2 linked regions of the Nothobranchius furzeri genome follow. The protein of the gene in region 2 purifies or fractionates together with the protein of the main gene of each other region. This does not show direct contact. Links are inferred from orthologs where the notes say so. Each region holds a gene or a part of one and is shown on either strand. Other genes may lie near its edges.

Region 1 (6,086 bases), on a different chromosome or scaffold from region 2:
TTCAGTGCCGCTGAAGTGGTGTACATTGATCTACTTTGGGACTGAAGCTCAATCCATTTAAAAGCATGATGCCTACAGTATGACCTCATCAACCTGAAGACATTTATTTTGTAGTTACATTATATTAAAGACCACCCCCTCATATGACCTTTGACCACTCGTGTATTGTGTCTGTAGCAGTTTCTTTGTCATGCTTGCAAGATGTTCTTTATGTATTTTGCCTCTATTTGAAACTCTGAACAGTTAACTAGATATTCAATACCTCGTGTATGAAGTACGTACAGCACTTAGATTTTGATAATTGTGAGGACTCGAGAAAAATTCAAATATCAACATTATCCTTCCTTAGTGTCCACAAGTCTTTGCCTTCACTGTATTGCTGAATTTGGTAGTTAACTCTTGCACATGTCTACATAGGTCAGAGAACTTGGATTGTATTATGTAGAGGTATATATTACACAATTATAAAGAATAATATCCTACATTCTTGGGACAAAACGTGCTGAAAATATTAAAATAAAAATAGAGTGTACAGATTTAATAAACCAGACCCATTCGAAGCCAGTTGTTGTCTGGCAGGCTTGCCCATGGGTTTAGACCTTTCTCTCAGGGTAGTCGTGCTTTTTAAAGCTTTATTGAAACAATTGCTCATGCCAGTGATGGCGGTGATTACAATAAACACTTGATGTAGGGAACGACTATGTTATAACCGTTTAGTAAATAATCACGAGGAAGTTGGATGGTTATGAGCATTTCAGCGGTCACGTAGAACAGTGGTTTGATGCAGTTTTGTAATTCATCACAGATGCGTGTAGACTGGAGTTGCCTGGAAGAGGAGGATGGGTATTTTTAATCTGTAAACTTGCTCTCTAAAACACTGTTTAGTTCACTACTGGAGCTACAGATTCTTTACAGCTAGCGTTCTTACCACCATATTTTGTGCATAATATGCTGTATGATTTGAAGTGGCATTTCTTATGTGAAAACTTCATTGTCTTTTATAGTAATAGATACCTGACTGAAAAAGAAATGTATTTACCTTGACCATCATCTTCTCATGTAAAGCTCATTTAATTGTTTTGCATGCAAGTCATTCTGGTCTCATGACAAGGTGATGGACTGTTTTTTGTGTTATTGTTTTTGAACAGGAACATTGATTCAGCACTTAAGGTCTTTTTACAACTGTGAAGTCCATGCATGGTGCAGCTGATAATTATGGCTCTTGCAAAGTCATTGCAGTTCTTTGAAAACCGGAAGTTAACGATGACCTTTTAAAGATGGCTTCCAGTTTACTATTTAAACCCAAATAATTTTGTGCCATATCATATGCCTCATGCATTTTCCTCACAGATATGTTTAGTGGTGAAGTGTGATCATAGAGGTGTGGGACTTTTTGTATCTCAGTTCAGAAAAAGCTAAGCTTTTTTTATATTGTTACAAGAGCTATACACATAAAATGGGTTTAACAATTGACATTGGTCACTAAATTATGATGGAGGTAGTCAGCGGAATTTGAATAGGGCGATTGGGACTGTGACGACATTTACACGCTGGGTGTGGGAGGTTACCTAAAGGAGAAAACGTCTTTTGAAAGTCAGCGGAGAGCAAATAAAGAAGTGACTTGCAGGCTGAAATTACTGTAATGCCTCACGTGTTAGGCTGTCAAATGTTAACGAGTGAACAATGGTATGTCAAGCCTCTGGGAAATAAAATTACCTATGTAAGCCATCAGTCAGACATCACTAAGCTCTTGCTGTGTCGTGTTATTTCTTTATTCTTTAGGCATGCTCACATTTAGATTCACCACAGATGGATGCTAAAATACCAACCCCTTCCTCTCGCTTTAGTGTGTGTACAGCGCCACGGTCTCATTGTTATTTCGGCAAACCGGGGAAAACCCCATCCAGTGTTTACATGATCGGACCGCGTGGTCTGCTCGAGCCCCGCCCCCTCGCGCAGCGTCGCACTGACGACGTTGCGTCACAAGCGCGAATGTTGTTGGGCTGGCGATTTCGCGGCGGCGATGGCGACGAAGACTCGGCGCTGGAAGAGGACGCACTGAGGCTGGCTTCAGCTCGGATATGACTAATTCCCGTTTGTTTGAGAGCAGTTTCCTTTTGAGTTTTTGCATGGGCTTCGGGTGAATCGCGAGCTTCTGACCACTTCGCTCCTTTCACGGGTGAGTCTCACCGGCTGTGGCGAGCCTTCGGTGTGTTTTGACAGAGGCCTCTGTCCCGGGGTCCGCCCTCCATCTCATAACAAAAACAGTTGCAGAGAGCGGCGCTGCTCTGCTGGGCTGTGGTGTGGTGCGGTGCAGCAACTAATGACAAACATCGACTGATAGGAGCCGACTTGCCGTACTTAACAGGGCTACTTTAAATCCTAATAACACTTACATTTAAGCCTTAGCATGCTAATGTTGCTGAAGATTAGCATGCTAACTGTTGACGTTAACGTTAGCTACAGCGAACGCAGCCGAGTTTCCTCTGATAGGATGTTACCACCACTGCTGCTGGCTCTCTCTAGTCTGTAACAGCTAGCTAGCTAGCTAGTTAGATGATGCTGTCTCAGCTGTCTTCACACTTAAACGCAACCATTATTATTATTATTATTATTAGAGCAACAAACTGCCAGTAAAACAGTAAAATTAATCATTAGTGGTGCTGCGCATGCTAACACCATATGTAGAGCCCGGAGCCTGTCACGGACAGGAGTAGCTCTAACAGGCTTAGCCCTCCGCGTGAAGTCAGCCAGACTCCGCTCGTAGGCTTGTAAACAGAGACGTGAGTGGGACAGATAGGCCTTATCAGGCGGCGGCAGAGCCGAGGCCGGGCGTCAGGACCCAGCTCTCGTTGAGTTGGACGGGATTGTGTCTGTTTGTAAGGACTCGTCTCGGACTCATGAAAAGATGTGTTGTTCTCCCGAGCTGCCACATCCACTGACCTCTTTAGCTCAGGTTTCAGTCTCTGCAGGAGCAGATGACCTTTGCAACCATTTGTTGGGCAGCGCGCTGAGATATTCCTAACAGACCATGTAGAGAAAAGACTTTATATACAGTTTACTTTAGAAAGCATTAACATCTCATTCTTGAAAAATACTAATCTAGTGAGTTCAAACACTAAAAGATGTTGGGTTGTGGTAAAAGGAGCCACGGATTCTGGTGGCAGCAGGACTTCACCAGGGCTGCTGGTGTTTTGGATGCACCTCTCCATCACCACCCTGAAGACGAGATATGAAAGTTGTTTGGTTTTCTGTGACGATCTGCTTTCACATCCATCCGTGATATCCAGCAGGCTTCTCTGGGTCTGACTTTGGTGGTGTCTCAGCTCACGCGCACGCCGCTGTGATCACCACTACATTTATTTTTGCCAGGGAATCAAAGGGGCTTCTCTAGCCTGCATCTCTATAAATACGGCTTCTTCTGTTTGCAAGGTATGAGGATGTTTCAAAGTGAAAGGTTTTTCTTCATTATGCATTTTAATTTCCACAGATTTTCATGTCCTGCTTGTGAGATTTTCCCTACTGGATCAACAGGAGTAACACCGTCCACCGCTGATACTCTGCAGTAAGTGTTGTACTGTATCTGGGCCATCTGCAGCCGTCAGTGTCTGTAGCTGTCTCTGTGAGGTGCTTCAGGCTGCCATATTGAATAGATGTTTAAATGTGGTCATGTTTACCTTTACCTGGTCATTCAAGTCAGTTTATTACCTGGAGAGGACGTCTTTGGGCACGTTGGTTCACACCATCGTCCAAATGAAGCAGGATAATCTTTGGATTATTATTTTAGTTTTGTTGTACATAATTAAATTTTCTGACTGGTTTTCAGAGAGTCGCTGAGCTCTTGCAGAGTTTTCTACCACATAATTACTGGTTTTAATTTGCTGCAGCTTAGGGCCTCTGGTGTTTTCTTTCATTTTTTATTCGTTTGTTTTTTCTGTAATCCCGTTTACCTTGAGGTATGATATTTCCAAAAGAAATTCTTTGGAAGTATTTGGGAAATCTATTTGCATCCTCCTCTTATTTAGCTGCTGTTAGTGCAGAGTCATGTGAGGATTAGAATCCTGTTTGTTGCTGCTGAACGAGCCTTGATGCCTGCAGCTGACACAAACACACTGGTGTTCTGTTAGTTCATGTTTCTGCTCCTCACCAGGCCCGCTCCGACCAACCAGCTCTTAGATGTGTAGCGTGAGATCAGCTCCGGATAGGACCAAATCCTTTAGAGTGTCGAAACATTTGCTTGTTTTTATATCAAGTATAGAACAGTACTGGATCCGCCTGAAGGTTTTAGCTAGGGATGCACGGTATCAGGCCGATACCAGTATTGGTGAAAGGTAATCATTAACAGGAACCGATACCAATGCAGTTGCCTGAAAGTGGCTTCACTGTCATTTCTGTTCACCTAATATTTTTGTTTTTGATCATTTCTACTAATATATTTTATTTTCCTATTGAAAGCAGAGAAGAAAATAAAACCTGTATTCCAATTCATTGCATTTTTTTGTGTGGTAGAGGTTTCGGTATCTGTAATTGGTATCAGCGAGTACTCAGATCCAAGTATCGGTATCGTATCGGTTTGGATTATATCGTTGCATCCCTAGTTTTAGCATTTTCAGGTTTTATCTGCATTTTACTTTTCTTCTTGCAGCCAGATGATATTTTTTAAACATCTCAGATGTTTTATTACTGAATTGAACAAAAACAGTTAAAATTTCTCTGGAAATAATTGGAAACAAGAAAGGAACTTTAATTGTGCAAATGTTTTACATCTCTCTGTGCCCATGTTTTAGTGGTGGGCCTCAGAGAGAAGATGGATGGTATGCCAGAGGGGTTCCAGGTCCGGGTTGAATTAGGAAAACTGAGACTAGTGGGTGTTACAGCTGTGGAGCCAACACAACTCCTAGATCATCGTTTATTTACGTTAGAGCAGTGCTACCCAATCCCGGTCCCCAGCACCCACTGTCCTGCGTGTTTTCCATGTTGCCCTTTCAAACACCAGAGTTTCCCTGCTGCCACACACCCGACTTGTTGAATGAGTGATTACCGGGCTTCCGCAGCACTGATGTTCTCCTGAGGAGTCAATGCAACTATGTAAATCGGGTGGGCTGAAGACGTGGAAGACATGCAGGACAGTTTGCGCTGAGGACCGGGGTTTGGAGAACACTGAGTAAATAGACTTTACAGTCAGTGGTTTTATAGAGTAAAGCTGCTAAATAAAGAAGAGAATTCATGCTAAGTCGTTCTAGCGTTTTCATCTTTAGCTTTATTAACAGTAACATTAGCAGTGGCTCTGGTTGTGCACCATCTTGCCTGTAGCTCATGGGGAAAACTGTTGTTTTAAAAAATGTTTAGTTTCAAAGATAAGAAATCCTTTAATTGTATCAGCACTGTTGACTCGCTGGGGTTGTTTGTTGTTGCAGGCCGATTTGAGTCGGAGCTCCTTGTTGGCTGACCCACACTCCTTCAGCGGGGCCATGGTACTGTCTTTACTTTACTAACGGGTTTGGTGTGGTAACTGCTTTGTCCCTTGGCCTGAATGCAGTCTGTAAAATCCGAACTGTCCATCGATTATCACTTTCCATCAGCTGTTTATCAGGAAGCAGACGGCTGTGTCAAATCTGAACGTGTCAAAGGTCAGCTGGGGACGCAGCTGAAGCAGGGCAGCTTTCAGTTTCCACCGTAGAAACACCCTGAAGCATGAAGACTCGGTCTCAGGACTGGACTCTGCCCTTGCTAATGCTGAGCTAGCATCACACAGGATGTGCTACTATGGTCCGTCTGACCAGGGCGGGTAATTGTAAATGGAGTTAAACATTAGGGAAGCTGGTTTCTATCCAGCAGTCATAACAGTTTGTGACACTTAGACTATTTCCACATCACGTGAGCATGAGTCTGAGTATGCGGTGGCGAAGATGATTGCGTTAACGCTGAAACAGAAGCTTGTTAAAGATCAACAGGAGAAGAGCGATTAGAAAACACTCGGCCACGTCCAAAGTGTGCTTGTGGAAGTTGAGTCTAATTCCAGCTCCTCTATGAATATCACAGTTTTATTTTCTGTGTGTAGGAGGAGCAGGTCCAGCAGAGCTTGG
Region 2 (5,887 bases):
CTGGAAAATAGTGCTGAAGAACAGAGCTGTTGCAGTATGTCAATATTTGTATTTAAGTTGCACCCAGTGACCTTGGGTGTTCTGAAAGGCGCTTTTAAATAAAATGTATTATTATTATTATTATTAAACACGTCTGTTTATAATTTCCCTGAGCTGGAGAAAAAAAGGTAAAAAAAAAAAAGAAATAGATAGTTAATAAGACAATCTGATTATTTTACAATTTACTTAATAGTGAATAAATGAAACTTTAATCCTTTAAGGTCCCAATGAGTATAAAATGAAAAGCTGGAGGAAATTATCACACCATATTTAGTTACATTGGATCTTTAATCCCAACACGGATTAGAATACAAATATCATACACTATTTCTCTTTTCAACAGATCATTTTTCCTGTCCTTGGTCCCTGGCAAACATTACAAACAAATGCATAGTGCTAGCATCATTTGAATATTTAAAACAGTCCCTACAGTCTTTTTAGGTCATTCATTATTATAAAGTGAAAACTAAAAGTTTGCATTCTCCACATAACTTTTAGATTTCACCATCACTTTTGAAGACAGACATTTTGATTAATTTTATTCTATATTTACATATCTTTGGCTGAAATATGTATTCTAAATGTGGCAAGCATGTTGTTCTGATTTAGGAAAAAACATCCTTTGTCCTGGTTTTGCTAACGCTTTACTTTATGTAGGTGAAAAATTAAAGAGCTCACAGCACCCTTGAGATTCCAGTGAGCCAAAACTGTGGAAGAAAAGAAGATGAAACATGGAGGGAGGTAACCTACTCTACTTTCTTTGTGCCCCTCTGCAGAGGACGTTCAGCTCTCTGCAAAATCCTGTGTAATAAACTAAATGTGTGTAAATGTTGACCCATACAAGCACAGACAAGCTTACTTCATTTAGTTTTCCCTACAGCATCTTCTGTGTGTTGCCATGGAAACACATGGCAGCAGAAGAGAAGGATGAATGTGCAAAAATGGAACAGACACATATAAGCCAGCAATCTCCACACATCACCCACCAGTCGGACTAAAGCCTGAAGACCATTTATAAACAAACACACAAAGTGAAAAAACAAAAAACTGTAAAACACACATATTTTAAAGAGTGTGTGCATAGTAAATAGTCCCTATATTAAACATCCCCCCTTATAACAAAGTCAAATCAGCCACTAGCTGTGCACTCTTACTTTTTGTTTTAATAACTATGGGAGGCTTCAACAGAAAATGATTCCCTGGAAAAAGTGTTGTGGACTGAAATTTTTATTTTAAGATGATGTTACCTATTTAATGATTAGACATTTATAAAGTTAATTCTAGACCATCATGACAATAATCTATTTATGATCTCATTATTTACAGCTGTGAATCCGTGCTGTGTCATATGAAGTGCTTATTGTGTGATTGGTCTGAAAAAAGTGCTTTCTCAAGGAACAATAATTGTGAATTTGTCCACTGCTGCCACCCAGTGGAATATGTGTGAAAGTGAATTAAACTATCAATAATGTAATTTTTTGCAACATCATGATTTTCTCAATTTACCTTTTAACTGTAGAAATACACAATTTAATAGTTCTGTGCCGATATCGTTTTTGCAAACATGCTTTTATTACTCAAAACGTTTGTGCATTTCGTCTTATTTTATTTCAATTTTCGTTTTTATTTTGACCACACTGTCGTTTCACTGTTTTATCCAGTTTAATAATATGATTACATGTTAAAATTAAATCCTTCTTGGATTCTGGATGACGATAAAATCAAGTAAAATCTAACACTAGTCTACATTTACCATCAGCCTTTGCGTTAAGGAAACGCAAGACGTCATTGAGCCAATCACGATGTTAGAACTTTATTTCAACCCCGTTGATTGGCTAGTTTTGCATTTTTCTTCCCACAATGCTTTGCGTAGAATTCAAATCAAGTGGACCAATGAGAAAGCGCCGTGGCGACAGAGCGAGCATTTAACTTAATACTAGAAACTGTTTTCGAAGGGCAGAACAGAACACAGGAGACGCCGCCGTCGGACACGTCTGCTGAATTATTCCATGAGGAAAGCAGATTTATTTTAATATTTATGTCTATATATGTCGTTTTATAATTGTAGAACCTAATGTTAATTATCGCTTGCTTTCAGGAAGTCTAAACTCGTGATTAGATTTAAATTCAGACGTGTATGGGAGAAAGTTAGCTAGCTAGGCTAAAGTAACGTCGGTTGTGTTAGGGTTAGTAGTTTGATTCTTGTAGTTTTCACCACGTTTACTGCGCGGAGAGAAAATAAACATTCCTGTAAGTTCATAGAAGACAGCTCTAATACAAAATGAGTGCTGGTACCGCAAAGCCGTTGGAACGTGCGGATCCCAAATCGGCACCTCTCAAAGAAATCCCAGAAATTCTCGTTGATTCCCGAACCATGAAAAGATACACGAGGGGGAGATTCCTCGGGAAGGGTGGTTTCGCCAAATGCTACGAGATCACAGATGTAGAGACGAAGACGGTGTTTGCTGGCAAGATCGTAGCTAAGTATTTGTTACAAAAGCAGCACCAAAGGGATAAGATGACCTCGGAAATCGCCATACACAAGAGTCTGGATCACGCTAACATCGTCGGCTTCCACGGGTTTTTCGAAGACGATGACCATGTGTTTGTGGTCCTGGAGATCTGCAGGAGAAGGGTGAGTACGATGGAAGGAAACCAGCTTTTCAGTGAGGTTTAGAGCCGACGGTTAAACACTGCGACATCTTCCGTTGTCCTCATGTTTAAATAGTGGGAAGCAAGCAGTACCAGACTCATTTAACACCTCACAACTATTTGATCTTTGATAAAAACATCTTAAAAAGAAACTTCTAGCCTATAAATGTGGGTTTATTGGTCCAGTACCACTCTGGTGGCCCCATGTGTACCATATGTTCAATCTTATAATTAAACGCATAAAAGATCACTCTTTTCTTGAGCTGTTGTCTTGACTGTTTAAAATGCTTTATTTCAGTCCTTGCTGGAGCTGCACAAACGCCGCAAGGCTGTGACGGAGCCTGAAGCTCGCTACTACATGGCCCAGCTGCTGAAGGGTGTCCAGTACCTGCACAACAACAAGGTCATCCACAGAGACCTGAAACTGGGCAATATCTTCCTCAACGACGACATGGATGTCAAAATTGGTACTCCACTTGCTTGGACTTGTAGCTTGCACTAGATCTTTTGTTTTTATCACGTCGAGAAGGATTTGAATCAAAGCATGCCTCGTTATTACGTGTTCTCTCTTGTTTAGGGGACTTTGGCTTGGCGACTAAGATCGAGTTTGAAGGCGAACGAAAGAAGACTTTGTGTGGAACGCCCAACTACATAGCACCAGAAGTGCTTTGTAAAAAGGGCCACAGCTATGAGGTCGATGTCTGGTCACTTGGGTGCATATTGTAAGTACAGGCCCACAAACGCAACTCATTTGAAATGTCCCAGCTGTGAAAGCTTCCCTTTTCTGTTCTTTCAGGTACACTCTGTTGGTGGGCAAGCCCCCGTTTGAGACCTCCTGTTTGAAGGACACCTACAGTCGCATCAAGAAGAACAACTACACCATCCCCTGGGTATGAAAATCAAACTGAATGCACCGTTTTCTTTCTAAAATTAAGTTAATAATTGAGTCGTATGATCTGAACAACCTGCAGCACATCACCCCGACTGCGGCGACTCTGATCAAGAAGATGCTGCACGCCGATCCTGCACAGAGGCCAAGCGTTGCTGAAGTGCAGGCCGATGAGTTCTTTACGTCCGGCTACATCCCCCTCCGTCTGCCCACCACGTGTCTTACTGTACCCCCTCGGTTCTCCATCGCCCCCTCCACAACTGCAGAGCTCAGCCAGCGGCGTCCTCTGACTGCTCTAAACAAGGGTAATGGCGATCAAAATGAAAATCTTTGTTTTTATTTTTCCTAGGCAATGATGTTTGAGTTGATCCACATAGATTTTATTAGTCTTGTTTTAGATGTTAACGTTTTTTTTTTCTTTGTTCCCAGTTGGTACGGAGAAAACGGAGGTGAAAGACGAGCCTATGCAAAGGTGTTTTTCATTTATTTATCACATGACAAACATTTTATAAAAATTCTAGTTCTGTTAGTTTTTATCTTTTCTTTGCGTAGATGTTGTTAACCTTTAAATGTGTGTGTGTGCAGGGCGGCTGAACCATCAGAGCCCTACCTGAAAGACATGCTGCAGCAGCTGAACAGCATCATGTCCACCAAACCCTCTGAAAGGGCCGTCATCCAGCAAGGTTAGTGGACGTGTCTCACTTCGTCTTTACCGATCTTGTGGAGTCTCTGTTGCTATTTCTCTGAATTTTGTCAAAACGGATGCGGTTATCTACTTTTTAATCTACATCTAAGGTTTTTTTGTGTAATTCCAGAGGAGGCCGAGGATCCTGCGTGCATCCCCATCTTCTGGATCAGCAAATGGGTCGACTACTCTGATAAATATGGATTAGGTAAATGTTAGGAGACCGTTTGTTTGTTCACATAAGCTGCAATTTTAACTTTGTAAGTTTGGTTTAGACTATTAAAAGTATATACAGGGTATCTGCAGGTCCATAAAAAGTCTTAAATTAGCTTTTCCAAATTTAAGGCCTTAAAAATCCTTAAAAATGACAAATAGTCCTTAAATAGTTTCCAACGGTCTTAAATTACCAAAGACCCAATAAACAAGATTCTTTTATTTCTATAAAATTTTCATGAATTTCTAGTTAGTTTGGCATTTTTTGTGTATGATATTGGCGTAAGCGGAACCGTACACATTCGGTTGGTTGTGAAAGGGGGCTATTTTTAGATGAGCATGCTAGTGGGAGTTTGCACCATGGGGAAGTGCAACATTAATGGTAAATGGATGGCTAATCCCACGTTCACGACCTGGTTAGCACCGGTTCCAGGCAATAGCTGGAAATTATAGCTTAAATTTAATTTAAAAAAAAAAGAAGCTTAAATTTGGTCAAAGTGGCCTTAAAAAAGGTCTTAAAAAGTCTTAAATCTGGCTCCCTTAAACCTGCAGATACCCTGTATAGATGTTATCTGGTACTGTTAAAAGTATCTTTACAGAGTTTTTAATGTCTGTTCCAGGCTACCAGCTCTGCGACAACAGCGTGGGGGTTCTGTTCAACGATTACACCCGGCTCATCATGTACGCTGACGGAGACAGCCTCCAGTACATCGATAAGACTGCAGCTGAGTCCTACCTCAGCGTTCGCTCTTTCCCCGCTACTCTCAACAAAAAGGTCAGACAGTGTTTTTATTTATTTTTTAATTCCATTTTATCCCCTTCAAGGCCATCACAGTGACTTGTATTTCTCTCTGGCTGTAGATTACGCTGCTGAAATACTTCCGTAACTATATGAGCGAGCACCTCCTGAAAGCTGGGGCCAACATGGCGCGGCGGGAGGGAGATGAGCTGGCACGGCTGCCTTACCTCTCCTTGTGGTTTAGGACGAAAAGCGCCATCGTACTGCACCTCAGCAACGGCACAGTTCAGATCAACTTCTTCCAGGTTAGATGGTTAACCCTTTCACTCAACGCGTGATGCTTCACGTGCGCGATCCCTCATCTTCTATCATTATGTGCTTTTCAGGATCACACCAAGCTGATCTTGTGTCCGCTCATGTCGGCGGTGACCTACATCGACGAGAAGCGAGACTTCCGCACTTACAAGCTGTCTCTTCTGGAGGAGTTCGGCTGCAGTAAGGAGCTGGCTAGCCGCATACGTTACGCCAAGCAGATGGTGGAGAAGCTGCAGGACAGCAAGGCTTCTTCTCCTGCACAATAGTCTAGTTTGTTCCTCAAACCTTCAATCACTTTCCCTTCTAGTCGCAGAACTTTTAATATTACGTGTATTTTTTAAAGCGAAGCAGAGGT

The links.
Region 1: the proteins of plk1 (region 2) and mtmr3 purify together in Homo sapiens (affinity purification with mass spectrometry; 4 studies listed by BioGRID and IntAct, with this or other methods). This does not show direct contact. The link is inferred for Nothobranchius furzeri from reciprocal best matches to the Homo sapiens genes PLK1 and MTMR3.

What each region holds. Positions count from the first base shown.
Region 1 is NC_091757.1:28,521,173-28,527,258, forward strand, and holds the start of mtmr3 (myotubularin-related protein 3), read left to right. Parts: upstream 1-1,973; 5' UTR 1,974-2,179; intron 2,180-3,490; 5' UTR 3,491-3,565; intron 3,566-5,417; 5' UTR 5,418-5,471; coding exon 5,472-5,474; intron 5,475-6,061; coding exon 6,062-6,086. UniProt on the Homo sapiens protein: Lipid phosphatase that specifically dephosphorylates the D-3 position of phosphatidylinositol 3-phosphate and phosphatidylinositol 3,5-bisphosphate, generating phosphatidylinositol and phosphatidylinositol 5-phosphate.
Region 2 is NC_091744.1:8,885,783-8,891,669, forward strand, and holds the start of plk1 (serine/threonine-protein kinase PLK1), read left to right. Parts: upstream 1-2,140; 5' UTR 2,141-2,320; coding exon 2,321-2,674; intron 2,675-2,989; coding exon 2,990-3,158; intron 3,159-3,268; coding exon 3,269-3,413; intron 3,414-3,487; coding exon 3,488-3,581; intron 3,582-3,662; coding exon 3,663-3,885; intron 3,886-4,009; coding exon 4,010-4,052; intron 4,053-4,165; coding exon 4,166-4,263; intron 4,264-4,395; coding exon 4,396-4,473; intron 4,474-5,098; coding exon 5,099-5,253; intron 5,254-5,339; coding exon 5,340-5,522; intron 5,523-5,603; coding exon 5,604-5,798; 3' UTR 5,799-5,887. UniProt on the Homo sapiens protein: Serine/threonine-protein kinase that performs several important functions throughout M phase of the cell cycle, including the regulation of centrosome maturation and spindle assembly, the removal of cohesins from chromosome arms, the inactivation of anaphase-promoting complex/cyclosome (APC/C) inhibitors, and the regulation of mitotic exit and cytokinesis.